Linked DNA regions of Sus scrofa. The protein of the gene in region 3 purifies or fractionates together with the protein of the main gene of each other region. This does not show direct contact. Links are inferred from orthologs where the notes say so. Each region holds a gene or a part of one and is shown on either strand. Other genes may lie near its edges.

Region 1 (3,254 bases), on a different chromosome or scaffold from region 3:
ACGGAGGCCAGAAGGAAGACACGCTTGGCCCTGACTCCGCCGACACGCACAGTGACTCCCTGATCCCCGCAAAGCCTCCACCCAGGGCCAGAGGCGGTGAGCAAGGAAGCAGCGGCGGGGGGCAGGGGGGAGGCCCGGACGGCCCCCAGTTTCAACTCCCCTGCCGCTGGATCAGCCCAAGCCCAAGACACACACGCGAAGCCAAGGGTCAGCCGGGGGGTGGGGGTGGGGTGGGGGTGGCAGAGCCCCCGCACCTGACCCCCCTGGGGCTTGGGGTGGGCGCCAAAGCAGAAGAGGCCGGGCCCGGACCCCACGCTCCGTGCGGCAGGCACAAGCCGGCACCCCAGCCCGAGCCTGACAAGCCAGCGGAAGCCAAACCACAACCCAATCCAAAAAACGAACACGGGAGAAGAGACACAAGAAGGGACACCCACAGGTCAAAGGTCACCAGAAGCACCAGCACGTGACGCTGCACAAGACCGCACCAGGCACGCACGACACCACGGCACCGGCAGAGACGGAAGCAGGAAGGGCAGAGGAGTAAGTCACTTTCGGTACAATTGCAAGAGAGACAGCAAAGAGGACGTGTGAGGACGCGCCTTCGGGTCGCTCGCGGCTCGGCTCTTTTTTTTTTTTTTTTTTAAACTAAGTTTTATAAATAACGTCTGATAACTCTGTGTATATAAAAACTAAACTCCAACAGCCACAAAGACTTGTCCGTAAGTTTACAAGAAAGGGACTTTTTTTTGTTGATTTTTTTTCTCTTTTTTCTAAACTAGCAAAGTTTCTATTATGCTTTCTTCCCTTTTCCGTGCCTATGGTCAAACGTTCTGGCTTGATTTTTTTTTTTTTTAAAAAGACAATTTTATAAATACTCTGCAGCTTTTTTTCTTCTGTAGCTTTTAAACATATAATTTAATAACTTCGTAAAAGGAACTTCTCTCTCTTAAATAAAGGGCTATGTAACCACACAAATAGGTCATGTAAACAGTGACAGGGGACCCACTGCAGGACACTGGACACACCCTTCACGGACGCTCACAACCAGTGATTTGGTCTTGTTCAGTGCAACGCCTCAGGCAGGAGCCCAAGGCCCCTGGCCCGCAGCCACACGACGCCCCAGGCCCCCCCAGCGCCGGCAATGGCCGGGCTGAGAGGGACCCGCCCTGCCTGCCCCGCGCCGTCGGGGCCCCCGGGGGCCCCCTCTGTAATGGAGAGCAGCCCCTCCTGCCCTGAAGCCCTCCCCGCTCGGGGCCACACTTGCCCCAGAGCACTGGCTCCATCTTTCGCTCCGTCCAGGCCCCCAGGCCCTCTCTGGACGCCGAGCCCACCTGCCCGAGGTACCGAGGGGGCGGGGCCGCCCACGTCACCGCCGAACTGACCAATCCCAACGTACAAAACACACGATGACAACGACGAGATCAAAGGGGCTCAGCCCGGCGCCCCTGGGCTGCAGGTTGTGCTTTGCAGGGAAGGGAGGAGAGAAGGGAGGAGGCGGAGGGCCAAGAGGAGGGAGCGGGGGAGGAGGAAGGGGACGGGGCTGCCGAATCTGCCACGCGCCTACTGGCCCCTTGCAGACCCGCCGGGCTGAGCACGTCCCTACGACCGGGCGTCCGTCTTGGACTTGACTATTGTGATGACGCTGGTGGCGGCCACCTTGCCGGGGACGAGGGGCCCCAAGCTGGCAGCAAGGGGGCCCCGCGCCGGTGCCACGGGGCTTCGGGCCACCGTCCTGGCGAAGTTCTGCAGGGCCTCGTACTTGGAGCGCAGGGCGTCGAGCTCCAGCTTCATGCTGGCGTTCTCGGAGGCCAGCTTCTCCACCTCCTGCTGCAGCTCCGCCTTCTGCTTCTCCAGCTCCTCCTTCTGGGTCACCCGCTTCACGCGGCAGCTGGCGGCGTAGCCGCGGTTCTTGAGCGTGCGCCGGCGCTGCTTCAGCTGGATGATCTCCTCCTTGGACAGGCCCCGCAGGTGCTGGTTCAGCTCCCGCACGGACATGGTCACCAGCTCCTCGTCCGTCAGGCTGGTGCCATTCTCGCCTGGCTCCCGCTTCACCTGGGGAGGGCACAGCGGGCGAGGTCACAGGCCAGATGGAGGCCGCCCGCCCGGTGCCACCCCAGCCCGAGAGCGGCCCCAACCTCCCTGCTCACCTTCAAGGCTTTGTTTCCTTTATTGGGGGTCGTCATAACCCGGGGGGCGCAGCAAGCAGGCACTCTGCGAGACAGGGAGCAGAGGTCAGGACCCCGGAGACCACCCGTGCCCTCCCCGGCCGCCTCTGCCCGTCCAGCCCTCAGCCTCGCCCCTTGCCTGCTCCTGCCCTGGGTACCTGGCCCCGAGAACCACCCTTCAGCCTTGGCTCGGGCTGCTCCCTGTCCACCCTGCCCCCAGGAACCAGGTGGGAGGCCAGGAGGGTCCGAGGGGGAAGGGGAACTGAAGGCTGTCAGGGAGGCAGAGGCGAGAAAAGGGGCCAGGGGGCCAGGGGAGAGATTAGGAGGATGCGGGAGGGGCCAGCCTAGAAGGAAGCCGGGAGCTTTAAAAATAACCCCAGTGCGCCCCAGAGCACGGCTGTTCCTGGCGAGTCATGCTGACTCAGCACATCGCTCCCGCGCTCTCTCACCGGCCTGGCACTCCCCAGGCCGCCAGCCAACGCAGCCCCAGGGGCCTGGCAGCAGCCAGCTGCTGGGGCCGCGAAGGCCAGCCTGGCCAGCAGCAGCTAAGGGCCGAGGCCAGCAACCCTGCGCGTGTGTACTCCAGGGTTACACCTCCGGCCTCCGCTGCCCCTGAGCCGCCCTGGGACACAGCCCTGCAGGGCAGACGGAGGCTCCCAGAGGGCTCACACGGAAGAGCAGCAAATGGGGTTGGCCAACCCACCCGACTCTGCTCCAGCACTGGTGGGAGTTCCCAACCCTCCAGGCGGCAGAGCCTCCAGCCAGAGGAGCCCTGCCCCAGGCCCTCCGCCCTCGGTCCACCTCTGCTGCTGATGGAGTAACCATCCGGTGGCTTTGGGTTGCAAGCTTTTGCGGCCCTGCCCCACCCCATCCCAGGTCTTTCACAAGTGCCCACAATCGGCCCCAGGGGCCTGCACAGCCCCCTCTGGCCCGACGGTTCTCGGCTCCCTATGTGGGGGCCACACTTCCAGGGCAGGAAACAAAAACCGGAGGGTCCCTCCTTCCCCCTCGCCCTGCCTCCCTTTCTGCAGCCCTGCCAAGAACCTGTTCACCCACCTAGTGCTGGGATTCCCGGCTCAGTCGGCCCCC
Region 2 (2,253 bases), on a different chromosome or scaffold from region 3:
GCTGAGGCTGAGGGGTCCACTGCCTCCTTGTGCCTTCTGGAACATGAGGAAAATATGTTTTCCTTGGCTGTACAAAGTCAGGCCTCAATGTGAAAGTGCTGGAAAGATTACTCTTAAATGGGGGAATTTTCCTCTGTGGGCAGGACTGTTTATTTGCTGATGGGATGCCCAGGGCATTTAACTCTGCATTTCATTGTCCTCTGGGGCTTGCCTTCCCAGGAAGCTCCTTGCCTTCAGGTAACCTGATGGAAAGACGGAGGGGTTTATGGTCCCCTGCAGCCCTCACTCCACTCCCCCACCCCCCACCTCCCAGCCCCAGCCCCGCCCACAGCCCAGGCGCAGGAGCTGCTAACAGGGCAGTCTCTTCATCTGCAACTTGGGGCCAGCCTTCCCACCCAGCAGAGGGTCCTGCTTGAGGTTGAAAGCATCTTGGGTCCCTCATTCGGGACCCACCCCCCACCCCCCTCCCCCCAAAAAACATAGACCAGGACATACACTTCTAAACTGTGGAAAAAGAGAACTTGACTTTATTCAGAAAGTCTACAAAATACAGAAGGCGGATAACTCGCTTACTGTAAGTCGGAAAAATAAATAAAATCTAGGGACCGGGCAATTTTTTTTAAAACAGTTTTTGATTGCTTTTGTCAGCCGGCTTTCCCTAAATATAAGATAAAATGTGATTTATTTGCAGATATAAAACACAAAGTCCAGCACAGGACCGCATACCACTTTTCCCAGGCAGTGGGTGCTAGGGCTCTGGCTGGGGGAGAATAACTTAGATTCGTGTAATAAATAAACAGCAGGGACAGGAAGCTCTATAGTGGGCGTGGGGCTAGGGCCCAGCCTTCCCAGGAGAATGGCAATCAATGGCAGGGGTTGGCCCCCAGCCCACAGCAGACCCTCACAGGAGGACAGGTGGGACCCTTTCCTTTTAAGGACCCCCATCCCAGGCTGCAGGGCAGTTGGATCTGTCTTCTCATCTCCCCACTTGCCACTGTGATCACCTCCTTGGTCCCCTTTCTCTCCGGCTGGCCAGCTCCCTGGCTGCAGCGAGAGCCCAGGACTGAGCCAGGCCAGCTCCTTCCCTCTCTTCCATCTGCATCACCTTCTCTCTCCTTCTGCTTCTCTTCCCCTGCCTCACAAAGAGCCGTCTGTCAAGCCAGGGAGGCCCTGGCACCACCTTTTTCAGATGCTGCCCACTGTCTCCCCCTGCCCTGCCCCCGGCCGACCATGGCAGGAATCTCAGGGCAGCAGCAGGAAGCCGTGGCTTTTAGTTCTAGCTCAACCACTAAGCATGTATGGCCTTGGGCATTGTCATGTCCACTGGAGGCTTGTCTTCCCATCTGTTAACTGGACTTCACTAGGCAATTTCTAAAGACGCTTTGGAAGGCCAGGCATCCAGGACCAAAGCAGAGGTGGGAGCATCCGCGTCCCAGCTGGACAGCTCCGCAAGACACAGATGGGGCTGTATCCTGGGAGGGTGAAGAGGGGCCGCTGGCGCAAGCTGAGCAGTTACAAAATGAGGGGTGGCCCTCTTCCCCCTGATGGCCCTTTTCCAATCTGCTCTGTAGCCCATCCTCCCAAACCAAGAAGGATGAAGTTTCTGCCAAAAAAGACCTCACTCAGACCCTGACCTCACCCAACCTCCTATCTCACCAGAGCTGCCCCTCCCCAGGGCCATCAAGTCCCAGTTTCAGGGACCACACGAGGAAGACAGGCTCGGGGGAGGGAACGTGTGTTCATTTCGAGGACTGGTGGCTGCAGAGAAATGGCTGCAGAGAAATGGGAGAGAGAATGAGCTTAGGCACTTTCTTAGGGAAGGCAGCTGGGGTCGGAAGGGCGTGCTTTGGAGGGTGGGCGTGGGCAGGGCGCGCGGGGGCGGGGCTCAGTGGGCACTAGGAGCAGGCGGCGGGGGCGGGCCCGGGGGCGGGGCCAGCGGCGGGGGCGGGGCCCGGCCCCGGACTCGGGGCGGATTTGACGATGGTGATGACGCTGGCTGGCGCCACGAGCGCGGCCGGCCCGCGGGCCGCTGCCACCGAGCGCGCGAAGCCCTGCAGCGCCTCGCACTTGCCGCGCAGCGCGTCGAGCTCCAAGCGCATGGCGGCGTTCTCGCGCGCCAGCTTGTCCACCTCGCGCTCCAGCTCCGACTTCTGCTTCTGCAGCTCCTCCTTCTGGCACACACGCTTCACGCGGCAGCTGGCGGCGTAGCCACGGTTCTTGAGTGTGCGGCGCCGCTGTTTGAGCCGGGTCACC
Region 3 (3,500 bases):
CCAGGCCGACGCTGAGCTGCGCATCACTCTGCCTGAGGAGGTGGGAGAGGTCACCCTGATTTTAACCGAATGTCATTAATTCTGTCATGGTTTATAAAGTTAAAATAGGCCAAGGAGCCCTTCCTTGGCTTCTGCAACAGTGCATTTCCTTAGCTTTTTTGTTTTCTTGGAAATGATGACATTTTCCATGTAAAATGATTAACTTTGGGTGCTAGTTAGTATTTATTGAGCAGTTGAATAATTTGACCCCTGTTACATTATTTTTGATGAAATGACGCAGCGGGTGGATTACAGACATTTGGTGAGGTCATGTTGGGTGGGAGGGACCACACTGCAGGCCATACTCTTCCTTTTTTCCTGTGATGAGGAGCTGTGATGGGGATTAGGGGTCTCCACAGCCTCCATTCCTCTCAGACATGCCCTCGTGGACATGGGCTGGGAGTGAATTGGTGGCTCCCTGGGATGCTCAGTGTTAATTGTTTTAACTATGAGCCAGAGTTGCCAGATTTTTCAGCTTTTCAAGTAGCTCTTAGCAAAGCATTTTAGAATTTGGAGGGAACCCAAAAGATTATGCATTCCAGCCTCCTCATTTTGTCTACGTGTGGGTGTTAAGGTACTCCAGAACTGTTCTTTTTTCTCTCCCTCTCTTCTTTCTTGAGATTGTGGCTTATGCATTATTAGAAAAAGGGTGCTATTATGTCATCTTTATAGAGCCTTGTTCTCACACACCTTTTGCCCACCAGCCTGTTGTGGAGCTTACTCATCTGGACATTTAAGTCTTTGTTACCATCCTGCCTCTAGGAGACCTCTCTCTAGGGCTGGAGCTGGGTGCAGGGACTCTTCCAGCAGCTTGCTTGATTGCGTTAGTATCTACAGCTGGAAGAGTGCTGAGCTTTAGGCATTGGGACACACATCAGAAGCTGTTAAAAGGAATTTGGACAAAGCATGTGTGTAACAGCTCTGTGCAGGCTGCTCTTTGATGACAGTGTATCTTGATCATTCTTAGAAGAATTCAGTGTTTTAAAACTAATTTTGTGTCTTAAGCCCAGAATGAGACTTTCCTTGTGTTGCCATGGGCTTCAGTTGCCCCTCATTTTGCAGAGGCAGTGTAAATGCACAAGTTCCTACTTAAAGATGTTACTACCTAGAGTCCATGAATCTTTTCTGAAACAATACTTGGCATAATTTTTTAGATCTTCTCTTAGCTCACTTTTTAAAACTGAAATTAAAAAATTTTATTAGATTTTTGTCATGAGATAAAAGATAAAGATAATAGTTACCATTTACTGTGCATTCCCCATGGGTCAGGACTTTAGATACTTTGTTTTCCATTGTTACAAATTTCACATTTGTAGTTTATAGCAGTTGGGGAGTTGGTGGAATGTAGGGACCACATGGAGATGGGATGGCAGCAGACACCTGGCACTTGACTCTGTGTTGCAACTTGTGTCCATGCTGCTTTCTTCCATAGATGATTTCTTTCAGCTAATGTGGACAGTTGTGGCGGTGTTTATGTCTTACCTCCTATCAGTAAACTGAACTCCATGGGTCATTGAGAGTGAAATCTATAAAGTGGAGGGTGTGATTGTAATGAATAGGATGTGCGAACTATGCTTTCCCAGACTCCCTTTGCTTTACATTTCCTGGAAGAATGTTTTTTCTTACCAAATTAAAATACCCATTAAAATAAGCCGTTATGGAGAGGTTACCCATCTTGCCATTCATTCCCTTCCTACTTCTCTTGTACTTATCTACTAGACAGCTTTCATGTGATGCATTTGTTTTTATTTTGTATATTAACAGGTGACAGTTAAAGGATTCGAACCTTTAATTCAGTTTGCCTACACCGCTAAACTGATTTTAAGTAAGGACAATGTGGACGAAGTATGCAAATGTGTGGAATTTTTAGGTGTATCTGATATTGAGGAATCCTGCTTTCAGTTTCTCAAATACAAGTTTTTGGACTCTGCTGCAGACCAGCAAGAATGCCCAAGAAAAAAATGTTTCTCATCATCCTGTCAGAAACCAGATTTTAAATTTTCACTTTTGGACCAGAAGGATTTAGAAATTGATGAAGTGGAGGAATTTTTGGAACACAAAAATGTGCGGACTCCTCACTGTAAACTCCGCCGGTATCAGGGGAGTGCACAAGTACTGCCTCCTCTGCAAGACAGTGCCAGTCAAACATGTGAATCCATGTGCTTAGAAAAGGATGCTGCTCTGTCTCTGCCGTCTTTATGCCCCAAATACCGGAAGTTCCAGAAAGCGTTTGGAACTGACAGAGTCCGTGCTGTGGAGTCCAGTGTCAAAGACATTCACACTTCTTCTGTTCAGCCAAACGAGCCCTCCGAACGTGAGTGTTCAGGAGGTGTCCAGGACTGTGCAGATTTGCAGGTGATTTTAAAATGTGAAGAAAGAAAATTAGCAATGGAACATGAAGAAGCCAAGAAGAAAGATCCTGCCTCTCAGTGCCCATCAGAAAAAACAGGAGCAACTCCTTTCCCCCCCAGTTCTACAGACCCCCATGGGCTCTATTCTCTGTCTCTTTTACACACGTATGACCAATATGGTGACTTGAATTTTGCTGGTATGCAGAACACAGCAGTGTTAACAGAGAAGCCGTTGTCGGGTTCAGATGTTCAAGAAGAAAAAACTTTTGGTGAGAGTCAAGATTTACGTTTGAAATCTGACTCTGGCTCCAGGGAAGATAGTAGCCTTGCCTCAAGTGATCTGAGTAGTGTAGAGCGAGAAGTGGCAGAACACCTAGCGAAAGGCTTCTGGACTGACATTTGCAGCACGGACTCTCCATGCCAAATGCAATTATCACCTGCCATGGCCAAAGATGGCTCAGAACAGATCTACTCCCAGAAACGGTCTGAGTGTCCCTGGCTAGGTATCAGGATTAGCGAGAGCCCGGAACCGGGTCAGAGGACTTTTACAACGCTGAGTTCTGTCAATTGCCCTTTTATAAGTACTCTGAGTACTGAAGGCTCTTCGAGCAATTTGGAAATCGGAAATGATGATTATGTTTCAGAGCCCCAGCAGGAGCCTTGTCCCTATGCGTGTGTGATTAGCTTGGGAGACGACTCTGAAACAGATACTGAAGGAGACAGTGAACCCTGTTCAGCCAGAGAACAAGAATGTGAGGTGAGCAGAAAATAAGTGAGTTGTTAAGTCATTGTTTTACCACCATTCATTGGGATTAATGTGTCAGCACCTGTTGCACTGCTAGGGACCTGAGCCGACTCAGGCAGGGAGGGGAGACATCCATGTACAGTAGTTTAAAAAAACAGGATAAATACCAGGAGTGCGGGAAGAAGTATGAAAGACTTCTGTCTTCATATATTTCAAATAGGTGTATTTATTATGTTAACGAGGGAGTAGATTCATACATTGGCTGTTTAACTGTTCAAATTAAATGCCATGTCCCAAGAGGGAAAAGAGTAATAACTCTGTAATCATTATGTGATAACTTCTAGTTAAATACAGCACATATTTAG
Region 4 (4,234 bases), on a different chromosome or scaffold from region 3:
CTTTTTAGGGGCGTATGGAGGTTCCCGGGCTAGGTGTCAAATTCAAGCTGTAGTCGTTGGCCTACACCACAGCCAACAGAAACGCCAGATCCCAGCCATGTCTGTGATCTACACCACAGCTCAACGCAAGGCCAGATCCTTAACCCACTGAGAAAGGACAGGAATCAAACCTGCGTCCTCATGGACGCTAGTCAGATTCTTTTCTGCTGAGCTTAATTTTTCTAATTTTGGATGAGACATTACCTCCCAATCCTCATCCCGACATCTTTAGCCTCTATTTTTATCTTTACTGTCCTACAACTGCCCACATATTTATTAGTTTAGTTATGCCTCCCGCCGAGACCCTAACTTCTCTCACAGTACGGGAACATTATCTGGCTCCTTCACCGCTGTCCTCCCAACACCTAGATCAGTGCTTGGAAGATAGTACATGTACTATAATTATTTGTTCTTTCAAGGACAAGTTAAGCTGTTCTCATAGAAGACCCGCAGAGGAACAAAAGCAGCAGCTTCATCTGGCTTAAAAACAAGGCCAGAGAAAAGGGCTACTCAAATTCCCACCTCAAATGTGGCTGGCCCTGAGCCGGGGGCGGGCTCCTACCAGACCGAAAACCAGGGCAATCTCATCCCTGCTTCGGCCAGTCAAGAGGAGCCGAACGGCCCTCCAGCAGTCTTTCCACGAAAACCATGATATTTAGGGCTGGGGGATTTGAGGAGGCTGGAAAGAAACTGAGTATAAGCCCCGACCTGCCGCTACCTTGAGGATCTCGCGACCACCCACGGCCAGCGCCACATGCCGGCTCTGCAGGCCGCACTGGATATCCTGGGCGCGAGTGCCTGGCGGGACCTGAACTTCAATGAACACCTCCTCCAACGTCTGGTACCACTGGCCCCACGGCGTCCCGCACGGAACGACCCCACTGCGTTCCTCAAAAGGGGCTGACATACTCCAATCGCCTCCCGGCTGCGGTGGCACCGAGAAAACTGAGCGCAAGCGCGGAGCCTCCGCGCCCAGGCCACGCCCCGTCTCCTCCGCTCGGGTCACTGCACATGCGCAGGAGTGGACCCCCGTGTTTCCACCTGCGCTCTTTCTTTCCTCTCAATGGCCATTAGGACACTGGCAGGACCCAGGTTGAAGGAACTGAAATCCGGAAAAGTTTACATCCAAAGACCGATGGAAGAGGCTTGCAACTCGTAAAGTTAGAACGCAGGACAGTACCACCAATATGACGTCAAGAGCGACTGAAAAATTCGCTGATGTGAACTGCGATTGCGCAAATGCTGCTTGTGGCGTAGTTGAAATTGAGTAAAGCCAGTAGTGATTGGGCCAGTGTGTGGGGGAGGGGTCGAAGTAAAAAAGTACTAGTCTCCTATTGGGTGATAACCTAAACTAGCAGGCCACCTGATTGGACGCCGCGAGAGCCGAGTACGCAGGCTCTTTGGGTGTTCCCTTCCTGGATTGGTGTACCCAAGGCTTTGGTTTTCCGATTGGCCAATGTCGCCTGGGCGGGAATAATCAGGGAGATTTGAATTTGAAGACAGTAGGCCATAATAACCCTCTGGAAGTTACCGAGGAGCGCTGATACCTTCGTGTTTGTGGAGCTGGTCGTCAACATGTCCTTTCCTAAGGCGCCCCTGAAACGATTCAATGACCCTTCCGGTGCGTACGGGGAAAGGAGATGGGGGACAGGAGATACTCTCATACCTCTTGCCCCTTTTGCTTCCCTTCATCAGAGGCAAATAGCGATTTTTAAGGCTGGGACGGGACTCCTTTTATTGACTCCTTTTTTCTGAAATATAAGCCAAGTATTTACTACATACCAAGCACTATTCAGGATGATAAGGATACAGCAGTGAGCGAAGCAAAGCCCCTACCCCATAGATCTTACATTAATTGGAGAATGCAGCCAATAAACAATTAGTGCCTTCGGAAACTAAAACAGATGGAAGGGAATAGGAATGAGGAAGCGGCGGTAGCTATCTGTTGGTCAAGTCGGAGAGTCTCACTGATAAAAAAATATTTTACCGTCGCATTTTGTTTGAACTTGTGGATTTCTTATTAATATTCCATTCAAGCCTAAGAAAAGGAAAATTGGTTAAAGCAGTTTATGGGTGGCAGTAGCACAAAAACACTATAGATTAAGTAATGGGAGTTAATTTTGATAGTACAGTACCCCAGATAGCATACTGAGTTTTTACATCAATTATTTTTTTATTTTAATTCCCGCAAATACATATTATCTGTTGTTTTTATTGATAAAAAGATGGAGACTTGTTTATTATATTTGCTCAATGTTATGCAATCCAGATATCAGAACTGGGGCCCCAAACCAGCCTCCTCAAACCATGCTGTGCTCTTAACCACTGCTGTGCTTAATTAAGCACAGTAACCAGGAAGCCTTAGATGTCGTTTGTAAGGCACTTACCATTTATTGGAGGTAACTATGCAGGGATTTTGCTGAGGTCTTCTGGCTAGATCAGATTTATCTTTCCAACAGCCAGGTGAGGCAGGTACTGATATTGTCAACAATTTACAGATGAGGAAACTAAGAGTTTCTGCAGCCAAACTGAGCAGCCTGTAATAAAACTTAACATCAAAACTCATGACTCACCCATCATAATGTATACTTTTTAACAGTCACTCATTCCACCTTAATTTCTATCAGCTAACTTGCAAATGGAAATGAGGCCAAGTGAGCAAATGCATTAGCACAAGCTTTTTTTTTTTTTTAATTGAAAGGCTCAAGGACCATATACTTTCCTAGACATTCAGAGAACCTCTTCTAAGTTCTGTCAGCAGTGTGTATCTTATGAGAATTTTTTTTTTTTTTTTTGCTTGTAATAAATTAGACTGGTTTTGCCAGTTACACAAAATTTCAGGCTCACAGTTTCAGAAGTAGTAATACATCATTTATTTGAGGCTTGGTATGTGTGTGAGGCACTGTAGTGATTTCTTATAAAATTCTAGTAATCCTAACAGCTGTAATATGAGGTAAATTTTTTTTTTTATTCCTGTTTCATGAATGAAGAATCCATCTCAAATAGAAATAATTTTCCAGGGGTTTTAAAGCTAGACTGGAAAAGGGGAGAATATAATGTTCTTATCCATCATCTTCTCCCTATGACTACGGAGTACTTGGCACCAAAGCTGTTGATTGGCAGACAAAGGTGGACGTGGATTTGACCCTACTGATTACTATACAAAACCCTATTCCCATTCCCACATTCCCTGTGACTGTTTTCTTTTCCACACTTCCAGATTCAACCCTGAGCTAAATACTGAGGATACGGATATGATTAAGACTGTCCCTGGAGGTCCCATCGTGGCTCAGTGGTTAACTAATCTGACTAGGAAGATGATGAGATTGCGGGTTCAATCTCTGGCCTTATTCAGTGGGTTAAGAATCCAGCATTGCCGTGAACTATGGTATCTAGGTCTCAGACATGGCCCAGATCCCGCATTGCTGTGGCTGAGGCATAGGCCAGTGGCTACAGCTCCGATTAGACCCCTAGCCTGGGAACCTCCCTATGCCATGGGTGCTGCCCTGGAAAAAGACAAAAAGACAAAAAAAAATTCTTTTAAATAAAAATTTAAGTTAAAAAACAAAACAAAACACTGTCCCTAACTTCAGGCAGTTTTGTCTAAGGTGGGGGATGGATAAATATGTTATTATAAGCCATTACAAAACTACAGGAAATTCTATGATAGGAACAGTACACACAGGCTGCTGTGGAATGAAGGTTTCTAGCTTGATTTGGGGATTTAGAGAAAACTGCAAGAGGCAACATCTGGGCTGAGATCTGAAAGAAGAGGCAGATCTCAAGTCAGCTATGCATAAGCACTCTGAAATGCCTTTCATTTGGGATTCCAGTTACATGAGTTATACAGTATGAAGTGCTGGAACATAGAAATATAGTGACATTTGTACTTTGCATAACATGACTTTATGAATTTCCTGCTGTATTGATATTAGACAGAGATGGATTATCACTAAATTTTTATTCTAAGCCACATCTTAAGGGCTAGGCATTTTCAGTAGCTTCATTTCTTAAATCTAGTGGTTGTTACTCCGGTGAATCTCTTTAAGTAGAGTTGATTCCAAATATTTTATTTCTTATGTTCAAACCTTAATAACAAATCTGTGTTGCTTATTCTTACACAGTGTTCATCCCAAAACTCTTTGTTGTTTTGCTCAGTTACCATGCTCCTTTGACCCAACTGAAGTAAAGGTCA
Region 5 (3,371 bases), on a different chromosome or scaffold from region 3:
CCTGCATCCTAGGGGATAGGATTCTCTGGCCAGCCTGGGTCACCTGCCCACCACCACTGTGATTGGAGAGGGGGCAGAAAGGAAAGCTTTCTGTGCAGGGGTGGTGGGGTTAGAATGACAGTCCTGTCCCCCTTTGTGAAAATGGCAGCATAGCGGAAGAGAGCAAGGAGCTCTGCCTTTGTGGTTCTTAGGGACAGCGGCCTAGTCTAGGCCCTGTCACTGCTTCCAACTGTGATGTCACTAGGCAGCTTCCTCACTTCTCACATAGGGCACTGGCCTAAATGCTTTAGGAGTCCTTTCCAGTTTTTAACAACTGGAATTGTGAATTTTAGCCTGGTAAACAGTGGCCTTTTTTAAAAAACGTTCTTAATTTTTGGCCAGACCCATGGCATTAAGTTCCCAGGTCAGGGATCAGACCTACGCTACAGCAGTGACAATGCCAGATCCTTAACCCACTGAGCCACCGGGGAACTCCAACAGGGGCCTTTTCGTTTTGCTTTTTAGGGCTGCACCTGCAGCATGTGGAGGTTCCCAGGCTAGGGGTCTAATCAGAGCTGCAGCTGCCGGCCTACGCCAGAGCCACAGCAACGCCAGATCCCTAACCCACTGAGTGAGGCCAGGGATTGAACTCGCAACCTTATGCTTCCTTGTCGGATTCATTTCCGCTGTGCCACAACGGGAACTCCAGCCTTTTTATTTTATGTTAACACGTACCTATGTTATATTCTGTGTCTGGACTAGTTGAATACACACTAAATGATAGGTGTGCTGTCACCAGAGTTGCGACTGGGTTGTCCAGGCTTTGTATTCAGGTTGACAAGAAGTAAACAAAGATTCCTCATCCTTACCAGCTTCTGTTTGTTTGTTTTTATTCCTTAAGTTTCACCTGGACAGATGGCAAATTAAACAGCAGCAACTTGGTCATTCTGTCTGGCCAAGTGGTCGAACACTTTGACCTGGAGTTCCGGATCCTGTACGCACAGTCAGAGCCCATCAGCGCCAAACTCCTGTCCAACTTCCAGATCAGTGGCAAGTTTGACCACCTCATTGACCAGAAAACACCGTCCAAGGAGCTCACGCTGGGCAACCTGCTGCGGCTGCGGCTGGCCAGGCTCTCGAGCACCCCCAGGAAGGCCGAGCCGGGGTGCAAGGAGGACCGGGCAGAGGCCAGGCGCGGGGACGCCGAGTCCTCCACCATCAGTGAGGACGACTACTTCAGCAGCCACAGGGACAGGCCAGACAGCAGGAGGGCGACCGATGCCGCCACGCAGACGGAGCCAGGCGAGGGGACGCCAGCAGTGAGCACGAGTGACACGGGCACCCAAGCCAGCGCAGCCACAGCTTGTGCTGGCACCCAGACCACGGTTGGCACCAGGGTGGCGAGCTCCCAAACTGCGGTCCGGTCCACGTCGGCCACGACCCAGACCGACACGGAGGAGGGTGGCCTCTTCTCGCAGGGAGTCCCGTCCAAAGAAGGGTCGCCGGTGTCGAAGATGTCTGTGTCGGGGTCCTCCAGCTCGCGGTCTTCCTCCTCCTCTCTGTCGTCCCAAGGCTCCGTGGGCAGCTCCGGCAGCCCCCCGGCTTCCCTCAGAGCCACGGACCTCGTCACGCCGGGACACCCCAAGTACTGGAGCACCCCCCACTTGGATCTGTGCTTCAGAGACTCGTTCAGAAACTTAAACAAAGAGCGGCAGTTCCACTTGGCTGGGATCAGGTCCCGACTCAACCACATGCTGGCCATGCTTTCAAGGAGAACCTTCCTCACGGAAAACTACCTCAGTTTTAATTCTGGGACTTTCATCCGAGCCTCCGCTAACCTGGTGGCCGTGAGAGATATCACACTTTATCCCTCCCATCAGTGACGGCCCTGTGCCTTCGGAGCTGCCGCCGTCACCCAGGCTCGCCCTGGACACTGTCAGAGCAAGGATGCTTAGCGGCATCTCTCCTGTCCTAATTGCCTTTCTTTTACCCTGATTTTCTTTGAATGCTCTTAGTTTATGTGCTTTATCTTTATTTTGTTCTTAGCATGCATAAGCCAGGTACTGGTTTTGTGGGTGAAACACTATGGATACAGGTTTTTTTGTTTGTTTGCTTGCTTTTTTTCTTTTTTTTGCCATGCCTGCAGCAAGTGGAAGTTCCTGGGCCAGGGACTGAACCCATGCCACAGCAGCCACCCAAAAGATGGCAGTGACAATGCTGGATCATTAACCACTAGGCCACCAGGGCACACCCATCCCGATTTTCTTTGAATTCTATGAACTGCACGTTATTTTATGTGCTTTATTTTTATTTTATCATGTGTAAGCCAGGTATTGGTTTTATGGTTTAAACACTAATGGGTACCGTTTCTTTGCACAATTTGAATCTTGATATCTCTTCAAGAGAATGTTTTAGGGTTCTCAGGTAATTCAGGTAAGAGATAAAATATGCATTGCATTTTTCTAGATTTTTGTGCACTCCTGCATTAGAGGTTTGAATCATTAATTTTCATGATCAAAATCCTGTTTAGAAAAAAACCGAAAACTCTATTTCTTTATTATTATTTTTATTTTTAGGGCTGCACTTGTGGCACATGGAAGTTCCCAGGGTAGGGGTCAAATTGGAGCTATAGCTGCCAGCCTACACCACAGCCATAGCAAGGCCAGCTCCCAGCTGCATCTGTGAGCTACTCCATGGCTCACAGCAATGCCAGATCCTTAACCCCCTGAGCAAGGCCAGGATTGAACCTGCATCCTCATGGATACCAGTCAGGTTCGTGACCACTGAGCCACAATGGGAACTCCAAAACTCTGTTTCTTAATTATCTGTCTCTTCTTTAGAATATCTGTGTTCTTAGCATTTAGTTCTTAAATAAAGAACTCTTGTTTGGTGGTTGCTGTGTCCTTTATTTTTCTCTCTCTCTGCCACTTTTCTGGGTTTTTGTTGTTGTTGTTGTTTGTTTGTTTTGCTTTTTTTTAGGGCTGCACCTGAGGCATATGGAAGTTCCCAGGCTAAGGGTCGAACTGGAGCTACAACTGCCTGCCTACACCACAGCCACAGCAATGTAGGATCCAAACCATGTCTGTGACCTACACCACAGCTCAGCAACACCAGATCCTTAACCCACCTGAGTGAGGCCTGGGATCGAACCCGAGTTCCCATGGATACTAATTGGATTCATGTCCACTGAGCCACAACGGGAACTCCTGGCACTTTTCTGTTTAACTCTAAGAGTGTCACAAGTAAATGCACCTAATACCTATTTATGCAGTTTTTTTTTTTTTTTTTTTAAACAGTGTTGGGATGGAGGAGTAGAGAATCCAAATTATAAAAGATAAATATCCACTTAGAAGGTAACATAAAAAAAAGTGACACGGAGCAAGTGTCAGAGT
Region 6 (3,500 bases), on a different chromosome or scaffold from region 3:
CCCCTGCTGCGGAGGAGGAACCCAAGGCTCGCACGACCCTGCCCGCATTTGCCACGGGACCAGGTGACCGCCCACAAGGAGCTGCTTCCCGAAGCCCCCTGAGCCGCTAGTGCCCTGGTGGGAGGACAGGCACACGCGTGTACAGACACGCACACGCCTGCACACGCACGCCGCCCTTCCCCCGCCAGCTTCTCGGGGCACCGGCCTGGGGCTGAGGCTGAAGCAAGCTCCCGGTGCATCGGGACCCCACGGTGCTCGGCTCCTCCCAGGGCACCGCGGAGCCGTCGGGGCGGGGACGGGGTGCTGCCCTGGCGGGGGCGCCGCAAGGGGGCCCGAAGCGCTGCGGGGCGTGGACAGGCTGCTCAGGGTGGGGGTGGAAGACGCGGGGGCCTGGAACCGTCTGAGGACCTTCCCTCCACACATCCCAACTCCTCCAGCGCAAGACAGAAGCCCCAGAAATGCCCCAGAAATGTCTGCAGAGCACCGGCAGGGCCCAGGAAGGCCGGGTGCGGGTGCGGGCGGGCGTGCGCGTGAGAAGGCGTGCGGCACACGGGCCCTCGGGAACCGGCTCTTTCCCAGCCACAGCCAGGGCCCCGCGGGCCTCCTGGACCGGACGCGGTACTGAGGGGTCTGGACCTCCGACCAGCTCGAGGGACGCGCCCCGCCCGCCCGCCCGCGCCCCCCCAGGCCGGGCACTAGGAGGCGGCGGAGAAGGGCACGGAGGTGGAGGAGATCTCGGCGGACTTGACGATGGTGATGACGCTGGTGGTGGCCACCTTGGTGGGCGTGATGGGGCCGCGGGCCACCGTGCGGGCAAAGGTCTGCAGGGCCTCGTACTTGGAGCGCAGGGCGTCCAGCTCCAGCTTCATGCTGCTGTTCTCGCGGGCCAGCTTCTCCACCTCCTGCTGCAGCTCCACCCGCTGCCGCTCCAGCTCCTCCTTCTGCGTCACGCGCTTGATGCGGCAGCTGGCCGCGTAGCCGCGGTTCTTGAGCGTGCGGCGGCGCTGCTTCAGGCGGACCACCTCCTCCTTGGACAGGCCGCGCAGGTGCTGGTTCAGCTCCCGCACCGACATGGACACCAGCTCATCGTCGCTGAGCACCGGGGCGTTCTCGCCCACCTCCTTCTTGACCTGCGGGGCCACAGCACAGGCTCAGGCGGGGACCCCGGCGCGCACCGCGAGGCCCAGGTCTGCTCCCCTCCGCGTCCCAGGCCGGCCCGTCCTGCTCCAGTGGGGTCAGCCGACCTCGTGCACTCGGGGCGGTGCAGGGGTGTTCGCTGGCGGGGGGGCCTCTGGCTATGTCGGCCACGACCGGTGACCGCTGGCCGCCCAAACCTGCGAGGCCTCGGCCCAGCGGGGCTGCCTGTGACCCTCTGGTGCCCGGTGCAAGGCTGCCATGGGGCGGACGGCCGCCCATCTCTCTGCACCCCTCAGACTCCAGGACCCAGCCAAGGCCAGTGGGCTGGGCTCCACGGACCGCAGGACCTCACGAGAGGCTATGAGAGGCTTGGCCCGCATATGCTCCAAGAGCCCACCTCGGGCCAGGCCCAGCTCTGCTCCGAGACGAGAGACGGCCAGTCCGAGGACACACGCCAGCCCCCGACGTGGAGGCGCAGGGAGCCGGACCCCGGGGGCCAGAGCACCCTGCTCACTGCACCCCTCAGGGGCTCTGTGGGAGCAGAGGCCACGTGACCCAAACCCCGGTGCCGGGGGCTCAAATGTTCTCTGGCCAGCCGGCCCCCACCCCTCCAGCCCCTGGACGTCAGAGCCCCCAAACTCGGTCGCCACTTTTCCCAAAGATCCTCCCTCCCTCCAGGCAACAGCTCCTCCCACCCTTGGGACAGGCCTCCTTCCCCGCGCTCTAAGGGCGGCATCGGGACGGGGCGTCTGGGGCCGAAGGGACCTTTGCCAGGCCTGGGCGCAGGGTCTGCCCACCCCACCCCTTACCTTCAATGCCTTGTTCGGTTTGGGATTAGTCGTCATAACCTGGGCACCGTCACCCGGACAGAACCGTGTGGAAATGGTAACTAGAAAATCACAGAGCACAGAACGAGCGTGGTTAGTTCCTGGCCGGGCACAGGGCAAGCTGCGGTCGCAAGTGACCCAAAGCAGGGACCCCCGGGGGATGCTCCCAGGCGGCGCCACCCCCACCTGTGCCGTCCAGGCATAGCCCCTGAAATCAGGGCATCCTGGCTGGGCCTGAGCCTCTCAAGGGGCCCGGGAGGGCACGGGCCACACCTCAGGCTCCAGCCCCGCCCGCAGAGGAGCCTGGATGCCCTCTGTCTGGTGCCCGGCAGCCGCAGGGCCGTCCCGCACCCCGCCTCCCCCTGCCTGCAGGGCCTGGCCAGGAGCACCTGTGCCTGGGGCAGCTCTGGGCAGGAGCACTGCCACTTCCTGTTCTGACCTTGGCCCTGAGCTCAGACGCTCGCACCTGGGAGGCACTGGAAGCCACGTTCAGGGGACACGGCTCAGCAGCAAAACCCCCTCTGGACAGGCCACACCCAGCCCCTGACAATCACCGCTGGACCCAGGGACAGCAGTGCCCAAGCAGGACCCGTCACTCTGGGCCCGCCTGGCCCCCGACACGAAGGTGCCTTCTGGGGAGCTCCTGCCTTGCTGAGCTCAACCCAACGATGGGCAGGGAGGGGGAGCCCCGAGCCCACGGGGCCCAGGCCTCACCCTCCCCGGCAGACCTACCTCTGCCAAGGGCACTGCAGCTGTGACATCACCGCCTCCACCTCGGCTGCCCCACAGCCATGACCTGAGGCCCAGAGGTGGGTGGGGGCTCCCACGCCAGCCCGGACGGGGGAGGTGGGGGCCACCACCTCCAGAGCTCACCGACCGTCTGGCGGGAGTTGTCCCTGCAGCCCGCCCTTCTCATTCTCGCGTCTGCATTGTGTCACACATTCTAATCATTCATGAAAAAGCCAGCCAAAGCATCCCAAGCATGATTCCCCTCTGATAGTTGCCATGGCGACCTTGGGAAGTAGCCAACCCCTGATGGTCGTCATGGAAACAGAGAAGCCCACAGCAACAATGGCTTCGGGCGGGCTGTGCAGGTTTGCGAGGCAGTGAGCAGGCCCCTCGTGCGGGCGGCTGGGGAAGGGGCGTGGGATTCCTGGCCCCTGACTCACGGGGACACTATGTCACCGGCTTCAAGGACTGGGGGCTGCCCTCCCCCAAGCCCAGACAAGATCCAAATGCCAGGCAAGGTGAACTGAGCAGAGACAGGGTCAGAGAGACACCCGAGGAGCGTCTCAGGGCCAAGACGAGGTGCACCAAGGCCTCCACACTGGGGGGACGGGGCCCTGGGTGGGTACCTCGGCCTGCAGCCCCAGGACTCGACGGAGCACTGTCCGGGCCCGCCACCACCGGCCCTGCCTCCGACAGCTGCCCACCCTTCACCACCAGAGGGGCTCAGCACCCAGGCCAGGGGACTCCCGGGGGTCCCTGGCAACACGGCTGCTCTCCGGGTGCGGGGAGGGAGAGCAGAACAGCAGC
Region 7 (3,500 bases), on a different chromosome or scaffold from region 3:
AAGATTTAAAGATCAGAAAACTAAACAAAAAAAAATCATAAATAGATGATAAGGGTTTTGGTACGTATCTTTTACACAAATTTCCTTATTCACCCAACTGACAGTAAATGCTTTAGGAGCAAACTGTGCTTTCTTTTGATGTGTCCTTAGGTATCTGAAAAGCCCAAAGTTGCTTAGAAACTTTCCCCAAGTGATCTACTATAATACACTTAAGGACATCATGTTTTCTGCGTAATCTTAAAAAATTATGATTGTTTAGAATTTAGGAGATGAGCCATATATATACCTAGGATTAGTGAAGGTGTGAGAAAAACTAGTTTTTACATTTTATTGTTGAGAAGGTGTATTTATTGAATTGAGAAGTACCTAAATGTCTGACCTTACCTGCAGTACTGTAGACAATAGCAAACAATTTTAAATAAATTGTAGCAATAAAATGGTGGCTTCAATATATTAAATTCATATTAGAATAGAATATGACCGTATCATGCCCTGAGAGTTACAAAGCCCCAAATTTAAGTTATAATAGTCTGCTTTTGTAAGGTCTTGGTTAAATACATAATTTATTCATCATATCTGATAAGAAAACACCTGAAAATATAACAGGTTAGTAATTGATTGTCTCTGGATGAATGATTATATAAGATTTTTACATATAAGCATTAAATACTACTACTTTAAAATTATCAGAAAAAAATACATTTTCCATTTCATAGAAATATCCCTTAGCTTACCTCACTGTGACATATATAATCAACTAAAATAAAGGCAAACTAAATTCATTATTAGTTGTTCACATGGAGAGTGCGCATGGTACAGGTGGCAGAATCCTGAGATTTTGACACTTTTAAAAAATGACTAGGAGTTCCCGTCGTGGCGCAGTGGTTAACGAATCCGACTAGGAACCATGAGGTTGCGGGTTCAGTCCCTGCCCTTGCTCAGTGGGTTGACGATCCGGCGTTGCGGTGAGCTGTGGTGTAGGTTGCAGACGTGGCTCGGATCCCGCGTTGCTGTGGCTCTGGCGTGGGCTGGTGGCTGCAGCTCCGATTCAACCCCTAGCCTGGGAACCTCTATATGCTGCGGGAGCGGCCCAAGAAATAGCAACAACAACAAAAGACAAAAAAAAGACCAAAAAAAAAAAAGACTAGCTGAAATTATAGAAAATTTCCTCATTTTAGAAACAACATTGATTATGGCTAGGAATGTAGAACGGTTTTTCTATATAAAATAAGAAAATACACACAACTATCTAGTAAAAAATGTAACTGAAATATACCACCATACCTTATAAATTAATGTGCTGATTAACTTGGTCTCAAAAATATATCCAAGTGGAATCCAGTTAAGAAATCTGAGCAATGTTTCCAAAGTTGCATGTACAAGTGGAGCATTTTGGGAATTTTCCTACAATAAAAATACGCTTGTAAATCATGTTCTCATGTATGATCATTATTTTTAAAAATGAAATTAAAAGCACTTACCATCACAAACTGACACAGCTGAAAAATTTGTGAGAATTCATTGCACATGCTAAAAAATAAAAGTGATCCATTTAGAAGACACATAGAAATAAAAATACTGTGATTACTTACATACTAACATAATTGGCAGCCTGGACATTAAAAAATTTAATTACTTCTATTTACAAAGTTATTAAAACTATGTTTGTAATATCACTCTTAAGACTCACCTAAAGAGCATTAATTTTGTGGGTTTTTTTTTTTTTTTTTTTTTTTTTTAGGTATGGGTTTTTTTTGTCATCCTTATTCCATCTGAGTAATTTCAATCAATTCAGTCTTTTAAATCAAGATAGGAGACAGAAAATTCTCCGAAATAAGGAGTGGTGTTAGATAGATATACCCCAATCCTAAAATGTATCTATACATCAAATCAAAGGAAAAAATTCTAAATTCTGAAGCTAGTTTCAATACATAAAGATAATACTTCTGTTCCTTAATGACTAAACACATTTTATTACTATGTTGAAGAAAATAAAATTTGACATGTTCCTAGCGTTAACTATTGGGGAAGTGACAAAATGCAGAACAGAAAGATTCACTAGACATTTGGACACACGTAAATTCCTTGGACCTTAATTAACTAGACACCTTATAAAACAGATTACGAAAAGGTTCTTGGGAAGTCTTACCCTATACTATACCCCTTCCACGTGACATGTATAATGCTAATTTGCTGTAATACCACATATACTTTTTAGGCCTTCATATTTAGAGTATTAGACCACTCCTTTACCTTTTTTTTTTTTCTTTTTTTTTCTGTCTCTTTAGGGCCATACTCACCGCATATGGAGGTTCCCAGGCTAGGGGTCGAATTGGAGCTGTAGCTGCCTGCCTACACCACAGCCATAGCAGCTCCAGATTCAAGCCATGCCTGCAACCTACACCACAGCTCCTGGCAATGCCAGAAACCCAACTCGAGTGAGGCCAGGGATTGAACCTGTGTCCTCCTCATAGATACTAGTCAGATTCGTTTCTGCTGAGCCGAGACAGGAACTTCCTCACTTTACCACTATTTAAATTATTACTCAAGAAGAACTAGAAATGTGCTAGTTTTCAACAATCATAGTTTCATAAAAATTTTTAATCTACATCCGAATGCCTTGGAATTGTTAGAAAAATTACTTTAAAATTCTAAAACAAGTACTTGCCTGTCTTTTAAATGCTTAGCTTTCACTTGGGTTATCTGTCCACTAGAGAAATCAAATACTTCTTCACTCAAGAGTTTCAGAATCACCATATTATTCTGACAGAGACTTTCACTGGTCCTACTTGCTCCAACAATGTCACTGATAAAAGTTGGCCAGTGTTTTGGCCATTCTTGTTTCAATATCTAAAATAAGATAGGAAAAGTTAATTTCATTTTTCAATGGCAAATAAGACAAACTTCATAGACACTGTGATACCAGAAGCTGGAGCAAATACCAACCATCTTTGATTTTCTCCCCTCTCCTACAGTAAGACAGGAAATGTGCTACTCTCCATATAATACACTGAGTAGAAAGTACAACACTGATAAAGTTCTTTGTCTCAAAAGCCCCATTCCTCCTCTCAATTATCCTGACTGCTCTAATCTGGCTCTAATGTATATCTGTCAGACATGTGCAAATTATCCTAGGAGACTCAAAGATCAAACTCTATGTGATAAAAAAGGTGATGGGCAGGGAAATATAGTAGGGTTTGGATATATAAACTCTGAAGAAAAGCAGCATTCCCAATGGGGACAGAATCATCTTTGACCAAAGGCTTAATAGATTTTAAGGTCTGTACTGCTTATTTTGTAAACTAGGGATTTCCAATCCAGATATTCTATAATAGTACCTGTTACTAAGAGGTAAGCAAATTAACCTCTTCGTACTCTTTCTTTTCCCAGTACGACAGGTTTACAACAAAAAGTCCTCAGTATAAAAGCCAGCAGAACTTAGTAACTTAGTAAAAATCCAAGTGTTGGGGAAAACCCAATGTTCCTATAACTTATTTTAC

Evidence for each region.
Region 1: the proteins of BACH1 (region 3) and MAFG purify together in Homo sapiens (affinity purification with mass spectrometry; 5 studies listed by BioGRID and IntAct, counting the BioPlex papers as one, with this or other methods). This does not show direct contact. The link is inferred for Sus scrofa from reciprocal best matches to the Homo sapiens genes BACH1 and MAFG.
Region 2: the proteins of BACH1 (region 3) and MAFF purify together in Homo sapiens (affinity purification with mass spectrometry; 3 studies listed by BioGRID and IntAct, counting the BioPlex papers as one, with this or other methods). This does not show direct contact. The link is inferred for Sus scrofa from reciprocal best matches to the Homo sapiens genes BACH1 and MAFF.
Region 4: the proteins of BACH1 (region 3) and HMMR purify together in Homo sapiens (affinity purification with mass spectrometry; 6 studies listed by BioGRID and IntAct, counting the BioPlex papers as one, with this or other methods). This does not show direct contact. The link is inferred for Sus scrofa from reciprocal best matches to the Homo sapiens genes BACH1 and HMMR.
Region 5: the proteins of BACH1 (region 3) and FAM83D purify together in Homo sapiens (co-immunoprecipitation; 3 studies listed by BioGRID and IntAct, counting the BioPlex papers as one, with this or other methods). This does not show direct contact. The link is inferred for Sus scrofa from reciprocal best matches to the Homo sapiens genes BACH1 and FAM83D.
Region 6: the proteins of BACH1 (region 3) and MAFK purify together in Homo sapiens (affinity purification with mass spectrometry; 6 studies listed by BioGRID and IntAct, counting the BioPlex papers as one, with this or other methods). This does not show direct contact. The link is inferred for Sus scrofa from reciprocal best matches to the Homo sapiens genes BACH1 and MAFK.
Region 7: the proteins of BACH1 (region 3) and XPO1 purify together in Homo sapiens (affinity purification with western blotting; 3 studies listed by BioGRID, with this or other methods). This does not show direct contact. The link is inferred for Sus scrofa from reciprocal best matches to the Homo sapiens genes BACH1 and XPO1.

What each region holds. Positions count from the first base shown.
Region 1 is NC_010454.4:1,072,074-1,075,327, reverse strand, and holds part of MAFG (transcription factor MafG), read right to left. Parts: exon of another isoform or gene 3,222-3,254; intron 3,206-3,221; exon of another isoform or gene 2,324-3,205; intron 2,212-2,323; 5' UTR 2,184-2,211; coding exon 2,148-2,183; intron 2,053-2,147; coding exon 1,600-2,052; 3' UTR 1-1,599. UniProt on the Homo sapiens protein: Since they lack a putative transactivation domain, the small Mafs behave as transcriptional repressors when they dimerize among themselves.
Region 2 is NC_010447.5:9,683,151-9,685,403, forward strand, and holds the end of MAFF (transcription factor MafF), read right to left. Parts: coding exon 1,896-2,253; 3' UTR 501-1,895; downstream 1-500. UniProt on the Homo sapiens protein: Since they lack a putative transactivation domain, the small Mafs behave as transcriptional repressors when they dimerize among themselves.
Region 3 is NC_010455.5:192,680,289-192,683,788, forward strand, and holds part of BACH1 (transcription regulator protein BACH1), read left to right. Parts: coding exon 1-40; intron 41-1,803; coding exon 1,804-3,147; intron 3,148-3,500. UniProt on the Homo sapiens protein: Transcriptional regulator that acts as a repressor or activator, depending on the context. Binds to NF-E2 DNA binding sites. Plays important roles in coordinating transcription activation and repression by MAFK.
Region 4 is NC_010458.4:60,329,225-60,333,458, reverse strand, and holds the start of HMMR (hyaluronan mediated motility receptor), read left to right. Parts: upstream 1-1,434; 5' UTR 1,435-1,614; coding exon 1,615-1,660; intron 1,661-4,234. Other genes in the region: NUDCD2 (nudC domain-containing protein 2), read right to left, coding at 758-946. UniProt on the Homo sapiens protein: Receptor for hyaluronic acid (HA). Involved in cell motility. When hyaluronan binds to HMMR, the phosphorylation of a number of proteins, including PTK2/FAK1 occurs.
Region 5 is NC_010459.5:41,889,352-41,892,722, forward strand, and holds the end of FAM83D (protein FAM83D), read left to right. Parts: intron 1-880; coding exon 881-1,862; 3' UTR 1,863-2,871; downstream 2,872-3,371.
Region 6 is NC_010445.4:1,029,866-1,033,365, reverse strand, and holds part of MAFK (transcription factor MafK), read right to left. Parts: exon of another isoform or gene 2,697-3,500; intron 2,450-2,696; exon of another isoform or gene 2,431-2,449; intron 2,027-2,430; 5' UTR 1,983-2,026; coding exon 1,947-1,982; intron 1,131-1,946; coding exon 696-1,130; 3' UTR 1-695. UniProt on the Homo sapiens protein: Since they lack a putative transactivation domain, the small Mafs behave as transcriptional repressors when they dimerize among themselves.
Region 7 is NC_010445.4:80,282,516-80,286,015, reverse strand, and holds part of XPO1 (exportin-1), read right to left. Parts: intron 2,851-3,500; coding exon 2,669-2,850; intron 1,531-2,668; coding exon 1,482-1,530; intron 1,405-1,481; coding exon 1,285-1,404; intron 1-1,284. UniProt on the Homo sapiens protein: Mediates the nuclear export of cellular proteins (cargos) bearing a leucine-rich nuclear export signal (NES) and of RNAs.